Callithrix jacchus: one gene and its partners. The main gene of each other region encodes a partner of the protein of the gene in region 2 in a complex. Links are inferred from orthologs where the notes say so. Each region holds a gene or a part of one and is shown on either strand. Other genes may lie near its edges.

Region 1 (4,440 bases), on a different chromosome or scaffold from region 2:
CTACATAATTCTGACTTCAGTTTTGAGAATATAACTTGTTAATATATCCTGGTTCATATATCCTGATGTTTAGTGATGTGAAATGGATGTGGTGTTTACCACTGGACAATCAATTAATTAACATTATTAATTCTAAATAAGTATGGGACCAAAGAAATTATCTTTGGTCCTCAAGAACAATTTTAAAAATCAAAATACTCTTGAAAGTATTGCGTCTTTTTAGTTAAAAAAAAAAAAGTCTGCAAACAGCTGCTGCACAAAGATGTAATAAGTCACGAATTATAAACCCTGCATTCAGTTCTCACCTTCCATCACCCACCTTGTACATATTTTTGCCCTCTGAAAATATACACTGGAGGGCAAGGGCATGAGAATATGCAGCCCCGGGAAAATGGGAAATCAGAATCCTTTCTATGTGTGACCTCAGGCAAATCAGTGTCTTTGGCTCAAAGTGAGGTGGTTTCTAGCACAGAGGTTAAGAAGGTGAGCCTGGGCCATGTGCAGTGGCTCACACCTGTAATCCCAGAACTCTGGGAGGCAGAGGCAGGAGGACTGGTTGAGCTCAGGAGTTTTAGACCAGAGTGGGCAACATGGCAAAACCTATTCTCTACAATATATACAAAAATTAGCCAGCATGGTGGCAGGGACCTGTAATCCCAGCTACTCAGGAAGTTGAGGAAGGAGAATCACTTGAACCCAGGAGGTGGAGGTTGCAGTGTGCTGTGATTATGCAACTGCACTCTAGCCAGGATGACAGAAAGAGACTGTCTCCCAAAAAAAAAAAGAAAAGAAAAAAGGTAAGCCTGGAGCCAGGCTTCGTGGCTCATGCCTATAATCCCAGCACTTTGGGAGGCTGAGAAGGACAGATTACTTGAGGTCAGGAGTTCAAGACCAGCCTGGCCAACATGGTAAAATCCTGTCTCTGCCAAAAACATAGAAGTTCGCTGGGCCTGGTGGCATGAGCCTGTAATCCCAGCAACTCAGGAGGCTGAGGCAGAAGAATCACTTGAACCTGGGAGATGGAGGGTGCAGTGAGCTGAGATTATGCCACTGTACTCCAACCTGAGCGACAGCAACTCCTCTCGCTCCAAGAAGTACTAACGGAGGCCGTGCTCAGTGGCTCACACCTGTAATGCCAGCACTTTGGGAGGCCGAGGTGGGTGGATCACTTGAGGTCAGGAGAGTTGCAAAACAGCCTGGCCAACACGGTGAAACCTGGTCTCTACTAAAAATACAAAATTTAGCCAGGCGTGGTGGCACATGCCTGTAATCCCAGCTACTCGGGAGGCTAAGGCAGGAGAATTGCTTGAACCAGGGAGGTGGAGGTTGCACTGAGTGGAGATAGCACCACTGCACTCCAGCCCAGGTGATGGACGTGAGACTCCGTCTTAAAAAGAAATATATAAATACCAGCTAAGTGGCCTTAAACAAATTATGCAATATCAATAAAGCCCTAGTTTCCTCATCTGTTTTGTTGTTGTTGTTGTTAAACAGTTCAGGGGCTGGAAAAAACAGTACCCACCTCTTGAGAATGGGTGAAGATGATATTAGACAACCCATATAAAAGGCCAAGGCCAGTGACTGTTATAATGAGTGGTCTATCAACTTTAGCTATTATTATTACTGCCCAACCCACAGGACTGTTGCTAGAATCAAATGAGATGTAAGAGTAAAGAAACATATAAATTATAAAATAAAAGCAGAACTAACTGTGGCCAGAAACAAAGTTAACCACCGCCCCCGCTCCCGCTCCCAAAATGATTCCCGCCATGGGGAGAAGCCTCCAATGTAACATCCACACGATGTCTATAAACACGAGGTCTACTTTTGTTAAAAACCGCTGACCTTGAAGCTTCCTCACCATTAAGTGAGACAGACCAAAACCATACAACCATCTAAGAGAAAAGGAAATGCAAAAAGGACCAATCCAATTACACAGTAGTATCTCGGTTATCGGAAAAGGGTTTCTCCCAAACTCAAATCTGTGATTTTTCACTACCAAGGAAACTGGATGACATCAAGGTCTTCAAGCCTGCGGACTGAGGTAAGAGCTGTGAAGAGGGATCTGCATAGCACGGGAAGGAAAACTGCAGAGAAAACCACAGAGAAGCTGCAGAAAGGAGAAGCCCTCCGGTAGTTCTGCATGCCCCTCTGACACGAGCTATCACAATCTCTTCACCGCTATTTTGGGCCCAAGACCCCCTTCCCTCGTCTCCCACATGTGCCCAGAGCAGCTGCTTCTCCACCAAACAGCTCTGGATTGGGAGCCTGGAATCTCGCGCCTGCTCCTGACTCGATCTGGGTGACCTTGCGTCCGCCCCTTCCCCACTCTGGACCTCGGTTTCTCCTGTACACCGAGGCCTACCTAGTCAGACAACCCTCTAGGCCCAATTCTCGTAAATAAAAAAATTTCTGTTAGGGAATCATTCCTCTGGCAGGAATCATTCCTTCCCACCCTTGTGCCGCAGCCGGCTTCCACCTTCGGGAAATCTCCGGTCTCCTCAGGAGCGGTGGTAATAATCCAGCCTGCGGGTAGCGCAGGTGTCTTCAGAACCACGCGTCCCAAGGGGCCTGCCAGGCAGGCCAGCTCTGGCGACTAGCAGCTGCCCAGACCGCGCCGCTACCACGTCAGGGCTGAGAAAGGCTGGGCCGGCGCCTACGCGAGGCCCGCGGCTGCGGCCTAGTGGCCCGCGCAGCCCGCCCCCTGCGCCTGCCCGGCCCACGCGCCGGCCCTCAGCACCCCTCCTGGGATTTCGCTCCAGCCTCGGCAGCCCTCAATGCGTCGGGCTGGCGACCCGACCGGTCCGAGGCACTCACCGTAAATGGGCCGGAGGCGCCTGTCGTTAGGGTCCTGCACATGGCCCCGCGTCGCCATGATGACAAGCGCAGAACTGCAGTGCGCACGCGCGGGGCAGGCCCCCGGGAAGGGGCTGTTAAAGGGCCAGAGTCGCTTTCGCTTGTCTATCGCGATAGTTGTGGAGCCGCGACTCAACGCGCTTGCGCGGAAATGGAAGCATCCACCATGCCAGATTGCCACTTTAAACACTGTTCTTTCACGTTGCAGGTAGTATCAAGCTGGCAAGAGGAGGCAGCTGTTGCTGTTAAAATCTCTTCCGAGTCACTGACTGGGAAGTGAGGAGAGGAGGGGAGAAAGCTCTCGGTCAAAATTAGGGTTCCGCTGCTCCTGTTTATTCTCTGTCCTGAAGAACCAGTTAGACTTGGCTGTGATTAATCGCAGAGGAACCAGGAACTCCTGGAGGAGAGAGAGACCCAAGGGAATGTTGGGGAAGGGGGTGCTGATCAACAGCAAAAATCTGCCAAAAAAGTTTGAGAGCCCTCCACCTGTTTTCGGACCAGACTGAGGGTCGGGCTGCTATTTCTTGTGGTCCAATAAGCAGATGCAGATGAACTGAAGAGAAAGAGAGTTTTTATTTCTGCAGCCAGTTACAGGGAGAAGGCCTGGAAATGATCACTAGACCAACTCAAAATTACAAAGCTTTCCAGAGCTTATATACCTTCGAAGCTATACGTCTACGTGTAAGGGTGCAATAATCTATAAGTGATTAATTTATTTTAATCTATAACTAAGCTCTGAGTCCTGAAGATCTTCCTCTGGAGCCTCAGTAAATTTTCTTAATTTATATGGATGTAGGTGCCCTTATCTTGTCTCCTGCTAAAAAATCACAGAAGTGTGGGGAGTTACTTCAGACCCCCGATAAAATTTGTTTAATCTGGCTGGGCACAGTGGCTCATGCCTGTAATCCCAGCACTTTGGGAGGCCGAGAAGGGCGGATCTTGAGGTTAGGAGATCAAGGCCATGCTAGACAACATGGTGAAACTCCATCTCTGCTAAAAAATACAAAAAATTAGCTGGGCGTGGTGGACCGCGCTTGTAATCCCAGCTACTTGGAAGGCTGTGGCAGAATGGCTTGAACCAAGGAGGCGGAGGTTGCAGTGAGCCAAGATTGTGCCACTGCACTCCAGCCTGGCGACAGAGTGAGACTCTGTATTAGAAAAAAACTAAACAAAACAAAAAAAAAACTTGCTCGATCCTAAATGGATCCTGTTAGGAATTCCTTCATTATTTTGCCATGCTTTAAGGCTAAGGAAAGGCCTTTGGTGGGCTTTTGTTATACATTCCAGCCTTTGTAGAAGAACACTGGCTTTTTTTAAACTTTTAATATTTAACCACTCAGTACAGAAAGTTGTTACACAGGCCTGTGATAGTGAGACCTGGCCTGTCACACACCCGTCTCCCAGGACTCAGCCAACAAAGAAGCATCCTAGATGAACACTTACTCAGTATATGGCTAGAGTACTTAAATACAAGGTCTTTAAATTTATCCTCTCATTTAATTTTCATAACTGTCATAGTATTTCCCTGGGAGGTTGATCCTATTACCTCTTGTTACAGTTAGATTTATTCATACAACACCAAGT
Region 2 (4,659 bases):
ATCTTACAGCCTCTTAGCCTTTTTTTTCTACACTTAATGCCAACCCCCAAATTTCTGTCTTTAGCCCAGACCTAATCTTGAGACGCCCATGCCCAGATGCCTTCCTGGCCCCTCCACCTGGGTTTCCTGGTACACGTGGCAGAGAAGCTCAGGTCTTATGATGGCCTCTCCAGGCCTTGCCCTTCTAACTCTGCTGTTATCCCCTCACCCTCCCACGCTCTCTCTGTTCCAGCCACGAGGCCCACCTCCTATTTGCAACAGGGGTGTCTTCGTTTACAGTCCCCTCTATCTGGAAGCTCCCCTGTTTTCATGTAACTCATTTCCTAACTTCCCCAGGTCTTTCTTCAACGGCACTCTCCCTCAACACCCAAACTAAAGCCGAGTCCCCCCTCACTTCCAACTTTCCTTCTCTGCTTGTATTTTCCTTTGTAACTGAAGTGAAGTTCCAAATGACTTCCCGTACAGTATTAGAGCAGTGATTTCCAAGGTGTGGGTCAGGATTTGGGGGTGTCCCCAACATTGTCTCAGGTGTTCTATGAAGTCTGAGCTATTTTATGATACACTAAGGTTTTTTTTTTTTTGAGAGGGAGTTTCACTCTTGTTACCCAGGCTGGAGTGCAATGGCGTGATCTCAGCTCACTGCAACCTCCGCCTCCTGGGTTCAGGCAATTCTCCTGCCTCAGCCTCCTGAGTAGCTGGGACTACAGGCACACGCCACCATGCCCAGCTAATTTTTTGTATTTGTAGTAGAGACGGAGTTTCACCATGTTGACCAGGATGGTCTCAATCTCTTGACCTCATGATCCACCCGCCTCGGCCTCCCAAAGTGCTGGGATTACAGGCGTCAGCCACCACGCCCGGTCCAATACACTAAGGTTTTTAGAGGGGAAAATGTACATTCTATAGACATGTTTTTATATCTTGTTCACTGATAACGCCTCTAGCACTGGCACACAGTAGGCACTCAAATATTTTTCCAAGAATAAAATATGTGTCAAATTAATTGCAATGTTCTGCATCCATGGATTCTTTCGATTCCAACTGCAGCATCTAATCTGAGTGATTCTTAGAGTTTTCTACCAAAATCAAAGAGGTAAGAAAATAGAAAAAATGGGGATGAGGTGTGGTGGCTCACAACTGCAATTCCAGCACTTTGGGAGGATAAGGTGAGAGAATCACTTGAGCCTGGGAGTTCCAGACCAGCTTGGGCAACAAAACAAGACCCTGTCTCTACAAAAAATTTAAAAAATTAGTGGATGTGGCAGCACGTGCCTGTAGTCCCAGCTACTCAGGTGGCTGAGGCAGGAGAACAGCCTGGGCCTGGGAGGTTGAGACTACAGAGAGCTATGATTGTGCCACTGCACTCCTTTTCTGGGTTACAGAGTGAGATCCTGTCTCAAAGAATAAAAGAAAATGAGTGTGACAGAAACCACTAGATTCACACTGATCCCAGCTGCCTGACCGCATGTCAAGTTTCCCCACTTTCACTCCCCGCTACTCTGGAATTTCCTTCTTCCTCACTTACCAATGTGTTATCCATCCTTCAGGGTTCACCCACTCTGAAATGTTCCCAGCTATCTCATCCCACAGTTCTTTCCACCTTCTTCACACCCAAATCGGAACCACTTGGTCTTTCGCTTCACATGGTGGGAGCTTATTTTTTAAAAATGGATGTAGGACTGATAGGCAGAGAGATAACCAGCATAACAAAATGTTAACTGCAGAATCCAGGAGAAGTGTCTATAGAAGCACACGGTGAAATTCCTCCAACTTTTCTTTTATTCTTTTTGAGACGGAGTCTCCCTCTGCCGCCAGGCTGGAGTGCAGTGGTAAGATAGCAACTCACTGCAACCTCCGCCTCCCGGCTTTAAGCGATTCTCCTGCCTCAGCCTCCCGAGTAGCTGGAACTACAGGCACGCGCCACCACGCCCAGCTAATTTTTTTCTGTTTTTTAGTAGAGACTGGGTTTCACCATGTTGGCCAGGATGGTCTCAATCTCTTGACCTCGTGATCCACCCGCCACGGCCTCCCAAAGTGCTGGGATTACAGGCGTGAGCCACCGCACCTGGCCTCCTCCAACCTCTCTAAACGTTCGAAAATCTTCATAATAAAATGTTTTCTTAAAAAAAAAAAAAAAATAGTACCTGCAAATCAGAGGTCTGGCCTTAACTCGAATCCAAAGAAACTGAATCCAGGGCTCTACGCACAGCGAGCCTTCCCTAGGATCTGCCCTGACACCTCATAGAGGAAAGGTGTCTACACCGGGGTGTGCAGCTACAGTAACTAAACCTGCAATCACCAGCCACGACTGAGACAGTATCGCTGCAGGGACACAGTGATCAGCGTTATTTCATTTATCTACAATTTAACCACGGCCACCAGGTGGGCTTCACGATGTACGCATCCCAGCAGCTGCTGACCCGTTTCCGACCCTCGCAAGCCCCCTCTGCGGCCGGGCCTTTGGCGATGCCCACTGCCCAGAAGAGGCGCGGCTCAGCCATCAGCCAGCAAGCAGCCGGGCGAGGAGCCCAGGTCCTAGGCTCGAGGCCGCGCCCCCGGCTCGCCCCATCGCCCCGGCGCGTCCTGACAGCGACCCTGAGCGGCGGCCCGAGGGCTGCCCCAGGACCCAGGAGCTTGCAGGGTCCAGAGACAAAGTTTGAATACTTTGCCAAGGTCGCCAAGGCCGACGCGCGTCGACCCCGGGTCCACCCGTTCCTGGACCCTGTGACCCTAGAGAGGCTCCCTTAACGGTCGGCGGGGGTGGTTCTCGCGGGTCTCCGCCCGGGTTTGGGGTCCAGCCGGGAGGGCGCGGCCGGGAAGCTGGGCCGGGCCAGGAGCGGCTGGCCCTAAGCGCGTCTCACTCACATGTTGTTGAAGCGGAACAGATCGTCGCAGGTGAAGGCCCGGAGCGTGGTCATCGCGCCGCTGCCGCCGCTTCCGAAACCATACGCCGAGACCCTGCGCCCGCCCACCGGAAGTCTCCAGGAGCGCGGCCGCGGCGGAACCCGGGGGCCGGGGTACTGCTTCCGGGTCACGAGTTGCTCTGCAATGACAGCAGCGAAGCAGCTTCCTCTGGCGGCCGGCGGCGGGAATTGCCAGCTAGCTCCCGTAAGGCCTCCGGGGCTCTGGCTGCTCAGAGCTTCGGAACCCCTCCCGGGAAGCGGCTGCAAAAAGCAGGCCTCGACGCTTGGCAAGGAAAAAAGCTGCTGGGGATGCAGAAACTCAAGCAGAGGAGCAGGATTCTGCAGAGTAAATGGGGAACGGGAGACCGCTTGTCCCAGGGATGCGAGTCGCAGATGTCATCTTAAAATGTCAATACCACGTTTAAATACAAAAAGAAGGCCGGGTGGGGTGGCTCACGCCTGTAATCCCAACACTGAGAGGCCGAGGGGGGCAGATCACTTGAAGTCAGGAGTTTGAGACCAGCCTGGCCAAACGGAAGGAAGGAGGGAAGGAAGGGAGGAAAGGAGGAAAGGAGGAAGGGAGGAAGGGAGGGAGGGAGGAAGGCGTGTGCCTGTACTTGGAGGCTGAGGCAGGAGAATCCCTTGAACCAGGAAGCGGAGGTTGCAGTGAGTGGAGATCTCACTACTCCACTCCAGCCTGGGTGAGGCTCCATCTCAAAAATAAAATAAATAAATGCAAAAAGCAGTGTAAAATTGATTTTGATAGTACACTTTATTTTTCCCTGACCTCACTTTATTGTACCTGAATATCATTTCAGCCTGGCCTCGAGGATTCTGGAGACAAATTCACTGGTAATCTCATAAGAGCATGCTTATGACATACTGCTTTTCACTTGCTGCTTTCAAGATTCTTTTCTCCTCTGTGACTTCTGAAACTGTGCAGGTAGTGTTTTACATCTCTTCTTGCTTATACTCTTGATGTGTTGAGCTTTTTTTATCTCTGTTCTTTCATTGGAGAAGTTTTCAGTAATTATTTTGTTTCATATGTTCAGTTTCTGAATCCATTTGTTATACTTTATATCTTTTTATTGGTATTGTCATTTTCCTGGTTTTACTTAGTTTTCTGTTTTTCTATTTTTATTCGTTGATCATTATTCAAATGATAATTTTATTTTTTTCAGTTAATTTCTGCATCTCCATTGTTTTAGGGTTGATTTCTGAACTTTTTTTGATGTCTTTAATTGTACCACATGACCCTAATACTTTGAACAGGTAATCTTTGATTGAGATTCAAGCATCAACAAAAAGCCTCCTGCCACAACTCTTTTAATGTGACTTTCTCCTGGGGTAATCAGAACCAAATTGGCCCAGATGCTAGAAGCCTCTTAAAGCCGGTTCCGAAGATGTGTCTCGTGTGGAATTGTGTGTGTATTTTTCAGTGAAAGACGGTTTCTCGGGTTTCTTCATAGTGGCCTCTGGTCACCTGATCCACATGTTGCTGGTGGTGCTGCTGCAGCCTTCCTGCTGTGGTCACCAGGATTTCCTTTTGGTCTCAGAGACCCAACCTGTCATTCAGAGGACCCCCATTTCTTTCAGCACTCCATGTCATCGGGGCAGAAACCAGACTTTGCCGTAGCTTCAAAAGGACAAACGTAAAAACACTTGTGTTAGTATTTTCTTTCTTTGTTGAAGGAGAAGCCAGGAGGTGCGGACTGACTCTCACAGGCATTCTGCTGTACTGCAGAGGAGCAGGGGC
Region 3 (4,679 bases), on a different chromosome or scaffold from region 2:
CAATGATGCAAAAATGAATCAAGAGAGAGAACTACCAGCATTTAGAGTACTGATTATCCTGACCCATCAGTCATGAGCAAACACCAAAGTGACATCTGAGGTTTACCTACCTACATAGAGAACACCCTCTTTTGTCTTTCCTGCTGCTTCTGCCACACCCTGTTTGGTTTTCTCAGCAGCAGCCACAACTCCCTCCTTGGCCTTTGAAAGTCCTTTCATGAATACATCCATGGCTAATGAATTCCTTTACACCACACTGGAGAACATAAAATACACTTTGAATGAGAACTTTTTGAGGAAAAAAAAAAAACACTGAAAAATTATTAGAAACCCTCCAAAGTGTGAGACTCTTTTAAGTGTACACTCATTTAACCATTGGACAAAGCAGACATTTTTAGCTCTGGCATTAAAAATTTAGCATCTCCCATCCATCTTGGCTAGTAAAAGTCTAGCCACCTAACCATGTATTAAGATGAATCCTCTGAGTTGTTATTACTGCATTTCAGAAGTGGAGTTGCAAGAAAAGATTCACCCTTTTTCAACTTCCCAGGGTCTAAAGGGTAACAGTATGAGTTAGAAGCCTGGAAGCTGGAGCTTAAGGTCAGGGGCATCCTTAACGTGAATCCCAGAATAAGGCTACCGGGTTGATGACGGAGAAGCATGGGGAAGAGAACTAACTACTCACTCTGGGTGTGGTTGAATCTCAGGCAAACAGCGAGCCCAGGGGCGCTGGTTCTAATCCACAAGAACATTGGCCACCCCCCAACCCCTGCCCGCCCTCAGCTATCTATCCAGAGCAGGCGCCGCTCACACCCGCCGGCGGTCGGCGGTCTGGAGGCCCGCACCAGCCACCTGAGGAGGCGTTCTTAGCCTCCACCCAGCGGACCGCGAGCCTGCACTTGTTAACCCTTTACCACCTGTTGACTTGGCCTCCCTGCACTTTCATTTCATTATTTGCCAAATGCAGCTTGCTTACTTTACAGAGAAAAACCGAGAGAGCGGGCAGAGGAATTTCGGGTAAGAGAGAAATAAAAGTTGGATGCTCAGGCTCCATGGAGCATCCTCGGGTTTCCCGGGGAAAAGCGGATCCTGGGGAATGCCTGACCTCTCAGCCTTTGAGGAGAAGCAAATATCGGAAGCAGGAGGAAAGCCAGGTCCAGTCTCTTTCCTTAGGCTCCCGAAAGGGCAAGTACTCATCGCCCAGAGACCTGGCACAGCGGATCCTCACTGCAGCACCACCCCCTCCCGGCGCCCACGACCACTTCTCTCCCACCTGGCGTTCTCCGGGATTTCCAAAGACATACGTTTAGATCTACAGGTACTTACCAGAGTCCCTCTGCTTCTCCACAACTCCGATTCCTCCCCACCTCCCTTAAAAAATTTTTAAACAATTCCCAAATAATATTGAATAGGGAAGAGGGAGGGAAAGGAGCGCATAGGAAAGGCGGAGGCGGCACCGGGAGGGGGACGGTCCCCAGAGGAGGCCGCCGTCAGCACAACTCGGCGACGCTAGGCTGGGGGCGTGGGAGGCAAATCCGCTAACCTGTCGTCGAATGGCCACGCCCAGTCCCTCGCTCACGAGGATGAAGAGAAAGGGAGGCTTGAAGGGAAGGCGGGAGGGCGCGCCCAGGACGCTCTCCGCGGGGCCGGGCTGGGGTCTGCGCTGCAGCCCGCACGCACCTCACTCCCGCGTCGCGGCGCTCGGTCGCTCGCCCCCTCTCTCGGGCCCCTTCTGGTCGTCGCCGTCGTCCTCCGCCTGGTCCTCCTCCAGCTTCTCCTCGCCTCTCCGCCCCCAGCGCTGATTTGTCAGCGCCTCTCCCCGCCCTCTCTCGGCGCTCGCGGTTTCCCTGCCGCGTGCGCTGCTCCGTTCCCTTTCTCGGATGGGGATGGGGCAGGGGGCGGAGGGTGAACTATCAACTCCAGCCGCCTGCCTGACCGCGCAAATCGGGAAAGTGGGGGTGCCTTCGCGCCTTACCTCAAGTTCAGGGTCACGGGCACTCTTTTGGCGCTCGCGAGGGGTTGGGGTTGGGCTGACGCCTCTCCGTCTTTCCCATTCCCCTCTCTTCCTGTCCCCGCCTTTCCCCCCAGGTCCTCCTGGGGACCATCCCCTGCACCGCGTCAGAGTCGACCTGGGAGAGTCGGGGCCCTGAGGGTCGACCACCTAGAGCAGAGCCTATTTCTTGGGGGGCTGCTGGAGGAAACAGCAGCGCAGGAGGCTGCTCACACGGCACAGCCGAGAGCACTTTGCCCTCGTATCGCTGAAATTTACTCGCCGTCGTCCGCTATAACGTTAAAGGTCGCTTTAGTTCAAATATCCCCAAGATTTCCGTTTGCTCTTAATCTAGGACGAGCCCGAAAGGGTCCCGCAGGTGAAGCGGAGACTACTAAGGAAGAGTTACAGGTTAAGGACGCAGGAGGAGGCTCAGCAAATCCTCTTCCCACCCCACTATCACCATTTTCCTTTCCACCAATCAGCGCCTGCCAGACGCTGATTTTCCCATCAGTGGAACAAGGAATAAATATTCCCCAGCCGTCTAAAACAAGCAGTCCTAAGGCTTTTCGCTCTAGAAATGGGACTTACTTTGCAGACCCAAGCGCGTGGTCTATCTAGGAGGCAAATCCAGCGTGATCTCCACTACCCGACCATCATATACAATTTCTTCTTCAGCCCCTTCTGAAAGGAGAATGCTACACACCACTCACCTTTCTGACTTCTGATTCTCGTTGCCCTCAGAACTGACACCCCCTTTTGTCTCCCTCACCCCCAACACGCTCAAACACACAGACATACAAACGCGAACTTCAAGACAATTTTTGCATCGCTTAACACATTTTCACCTCTTTCAGAGCTGGAAGGAAGACAGCTGTTCCTAGATCACACCAGAATGGAGAAGCAAGCTCCTCCCACTAGCAGAAAGCCTTTGCTTTCTGTGCCTGGATTCGGAAGATTAGTTAAGCCCTGGAAAAGGTGGGGGGGGGGGGGGGAAACAACTCGTTTTTGCTGTATGGTTTTGCAAAAATTGTTTTTATATTTATAGAAAGTAATGTTTTGTTTGATTCTTGCGCTCATTTTGGTTCTGAAATTTGAGTAAAATCAAATTTAAACATAAAAAACAACTTTAAAACCACAAGGAACAGGAAGCAAATGATTATACATAAAAGACATATAGAAGATAATGCATATGTGTTCAGTGGAAAATAGCAGAGCATGAAAGCAAGATTATAGATATTTATTACTTAAGCACTTCCTTGAACTCTTGGTCTGCCCTTTGGAAAAGCAGACTTTCCATAATGCAGTAGCTCACATTAATATTGTGTGTTTGCCTACCACCACAGCAAAAAGGTTGGATTTGGGAGCTAGTATGCTGTCTGGCTTTGAGACCGTGAACAAGTTATGTTCTTCTGTTTCCAGTTTTCTTTTTTGTAAATGAAGGGGTGAACTCAGGTGACCGATCTATTCTCAACTTCTTGTTATGGGAAATATTCAAACACACGAAAGTAGACACAATGAAGGACTCCCATGTGAATATCACCCAACTTTTACATGTTTTTCAATGCATGGCTGATCATGTCTCATCCATATGTCCACTAACTTTATCAGTACAAATACTCCCTGTTTTTTGTCACCAAATTCAAGCTTTGTATATATCTTTTCAGCTGTAAACATTCAGTATGCATCCACAAAATTTAGAAACTGTTTAAAAATAACCACAATATCATTAGATAATTATTTTAAATTGCAGTATAATTTACACCTAGTGAAATGCTCAGATGTTGTGTCCCTTTAAGTCACTTTGAAAAAGCCATTCTTTAGTGTAACCCACACCATTTTGAAGATTCAGGACATTTTCATCACTCCAGACAGTTACCTTGTACCTTTCATGTGCATGTTCTCAAATTTCATAAAAATCTAATCACATAGTACGAACTTTGTTTCATATCTGTGTGACCTCTTTTACTCAGCATAATATTTGTGAGGTTCATTCATGTTGTTGCATGAATCAGTGGTTTGTTTTTTATTGCTTTTTATTGTTTCTTTGTATTACTGTTAATAGTATATGTTTTCCATTGTGCCTCCTTACAGCTAGTACGTCAATAGACTATTACAACAATTATTTAATATATTATTTCATATGACAAATTTATAGTTTAACAGTGACCTCCTTGAGACCTGGTGCTTTAAGTCAAAGAGATAAATAAAATGACAGATATTTCAGGTCTTATTAGCAGACCAATGTGAGAGAATTATTTTTGGACAGTTGCATTTCTTATAATATTAAACACCATTCCACACTTTTATATGGTAATTTATTAGTCTTTTGACAAAGGACTAATGTACTATGTTTTTCAGTCATAACAAGCAGATAAATTATGTTTTATGTAACTTTTATAAACAGAGAACCTGAGCTCCAAGAGTTTTGGTGATAGGCTGAGATCACCTAGCTTTTTTAACTGGCAGAGCTGTGACAATTTAGCAGAAATTGTTACAGAAGGCACAATTGTCTCTGAATTAGCAGTTTCTGTCTGAAGCCTCACAGATTGGGTGTGGTAAAAGGTGAGAAGGAAAAAGGTAGAAACCAGATGTGTTAGAAATAGCCTTCAAATTTGGATGTGACAATGGAAATCAAGAAGAACTTACGTTATTATAAAACAGTTCATTCATATGTAGTTTTGCCTTT

Evidence for each region.
Region 1: the proteins of NAA20 (region 2) and NAA25 are in contact, whole or in part, in a cryo-EM structure (PDB 7STX), measured with the Homo sapiens proteins. The link is inferred for Callithrix jacchus from reciprocal best matches to the Homo sapiens genes NAA20 and NAA25. Residues at the interface, in NP_057184.1 of Homo sapiens: Thr2, Thr3, Leu4, Arg5, Thr8, Cys9, Asp10, Leu12, Phe13, Phe15, Asn16, Asn19, Leu20, Pro22, Leu23, Thr26, Tyr27, Gly28, Ile29, Pro30, Leu33, Gln34, Leu36, Ala37, His38, Pro40, Glu41, Pro49, Glu52, Met54; in NP_079229.2 of Homo sapiens: Ser226, Glu227, Ile228, Asn259, Asp261, Asp262, Trp263, Gln264, Arg318, Arg321, Leu325, Lys362, Pro363, Cys364, Thr367, Asp368, Val371, Leu457, Thr459, Glu460, Leu461, Ser504, Ala506, Leu510, Leu532, Asp533, Lys535, His536, Ile537, Gln538.
Region 3: the proteins of NAA20 (region 2) and SNCA are in contact, whole or in part, in a cryo-EM structure (PDB 7STX), measured with the Homo sapiens proteins. The link is inferred for Callithrix jacchus from reciprocal best matches to the Homo sapiens genes NAA20 and SNCA. Residues at the interface, in NP_057184.1 of Homo sapiens: Leu23, Thr24, Glu25, Tyr27, His73, Val74, Thr75, Ala76, Leu77, Ser78, Leu110, Phe111, Tyr137, Tyr138, Ser139, Ala140; in NP_000336.1 of Homo sapiens: Met1, Asp2, Val3, Phe4.

What each region holds. Positions count from the first base shown.
Region 1 is NC_133510.1:115,034,605-115,039,044, forward strand, and holds the start of NAA25 (N-alpha-acetyltransferase 25, NatB auxiliary subunit), read right to left. Parts: upstream 2,896-4,440; 5' UTR 2,876-2,895; coding exon 2,818-2,875; exon of another isoform or gene 2,456-2,817; intron 1-2,455. UniProt on the Homo sapiens protein: Non-catalytic subunit of the NatB complex which catalyzes acetylation of the N-terminal methionine residues of peptides beginning with Met-Asp, Met-Glu, Met-Asn and Met-Gln. May play a role in normal cell-cycle progression.
Region 2 is NC_133506.1:27,002,915-27,007,573, reverse strand, and holds the start of NAA20 (N-alpha-acetyltransferase 20), read right to left. Parts: upstream 2,974-4,659; 5' UTR 2,919-2,973; coding exon 2,866-2,918; intron 1-2,865. UniProt on the Homo sapiens protein: Catalytic subunit of the NatB complex which catalyzes acetylation of the N-terminal methionine residues of peptides beginning with Met-Asp, Met-Glu, Met-Asn and Met-Gln. Proteins with cell cycle functions are overrepresented in the pool of NatB substrates.
Region 3 is NC_133504.1:107,737,316-107,741,994, reverse strand, and holds the start of SNCA (alpha-synuclein), read right to left. Parts: upstream 2,896-4,679; 5' UTR 2,704-2,895; exon of another isoform or gene 2,582-2,703; intron 2,411-2,581; exon of another isoform or gene 1,976-2,410; intron 1,745-1,975; exon of another isoform or gene 1,327-1,744; intron 834-1,326; exon of another isoform or gene 686-833; intron 257-685; 5' UTR 232-256; coding exon 111-231; intron 1-110. UniProt on the Homo sapiens protein: Neuronal protein that plays several roles in synaptic activity such as regulation of synaptic vesicle trafficking and subsequent neurotransmitter release.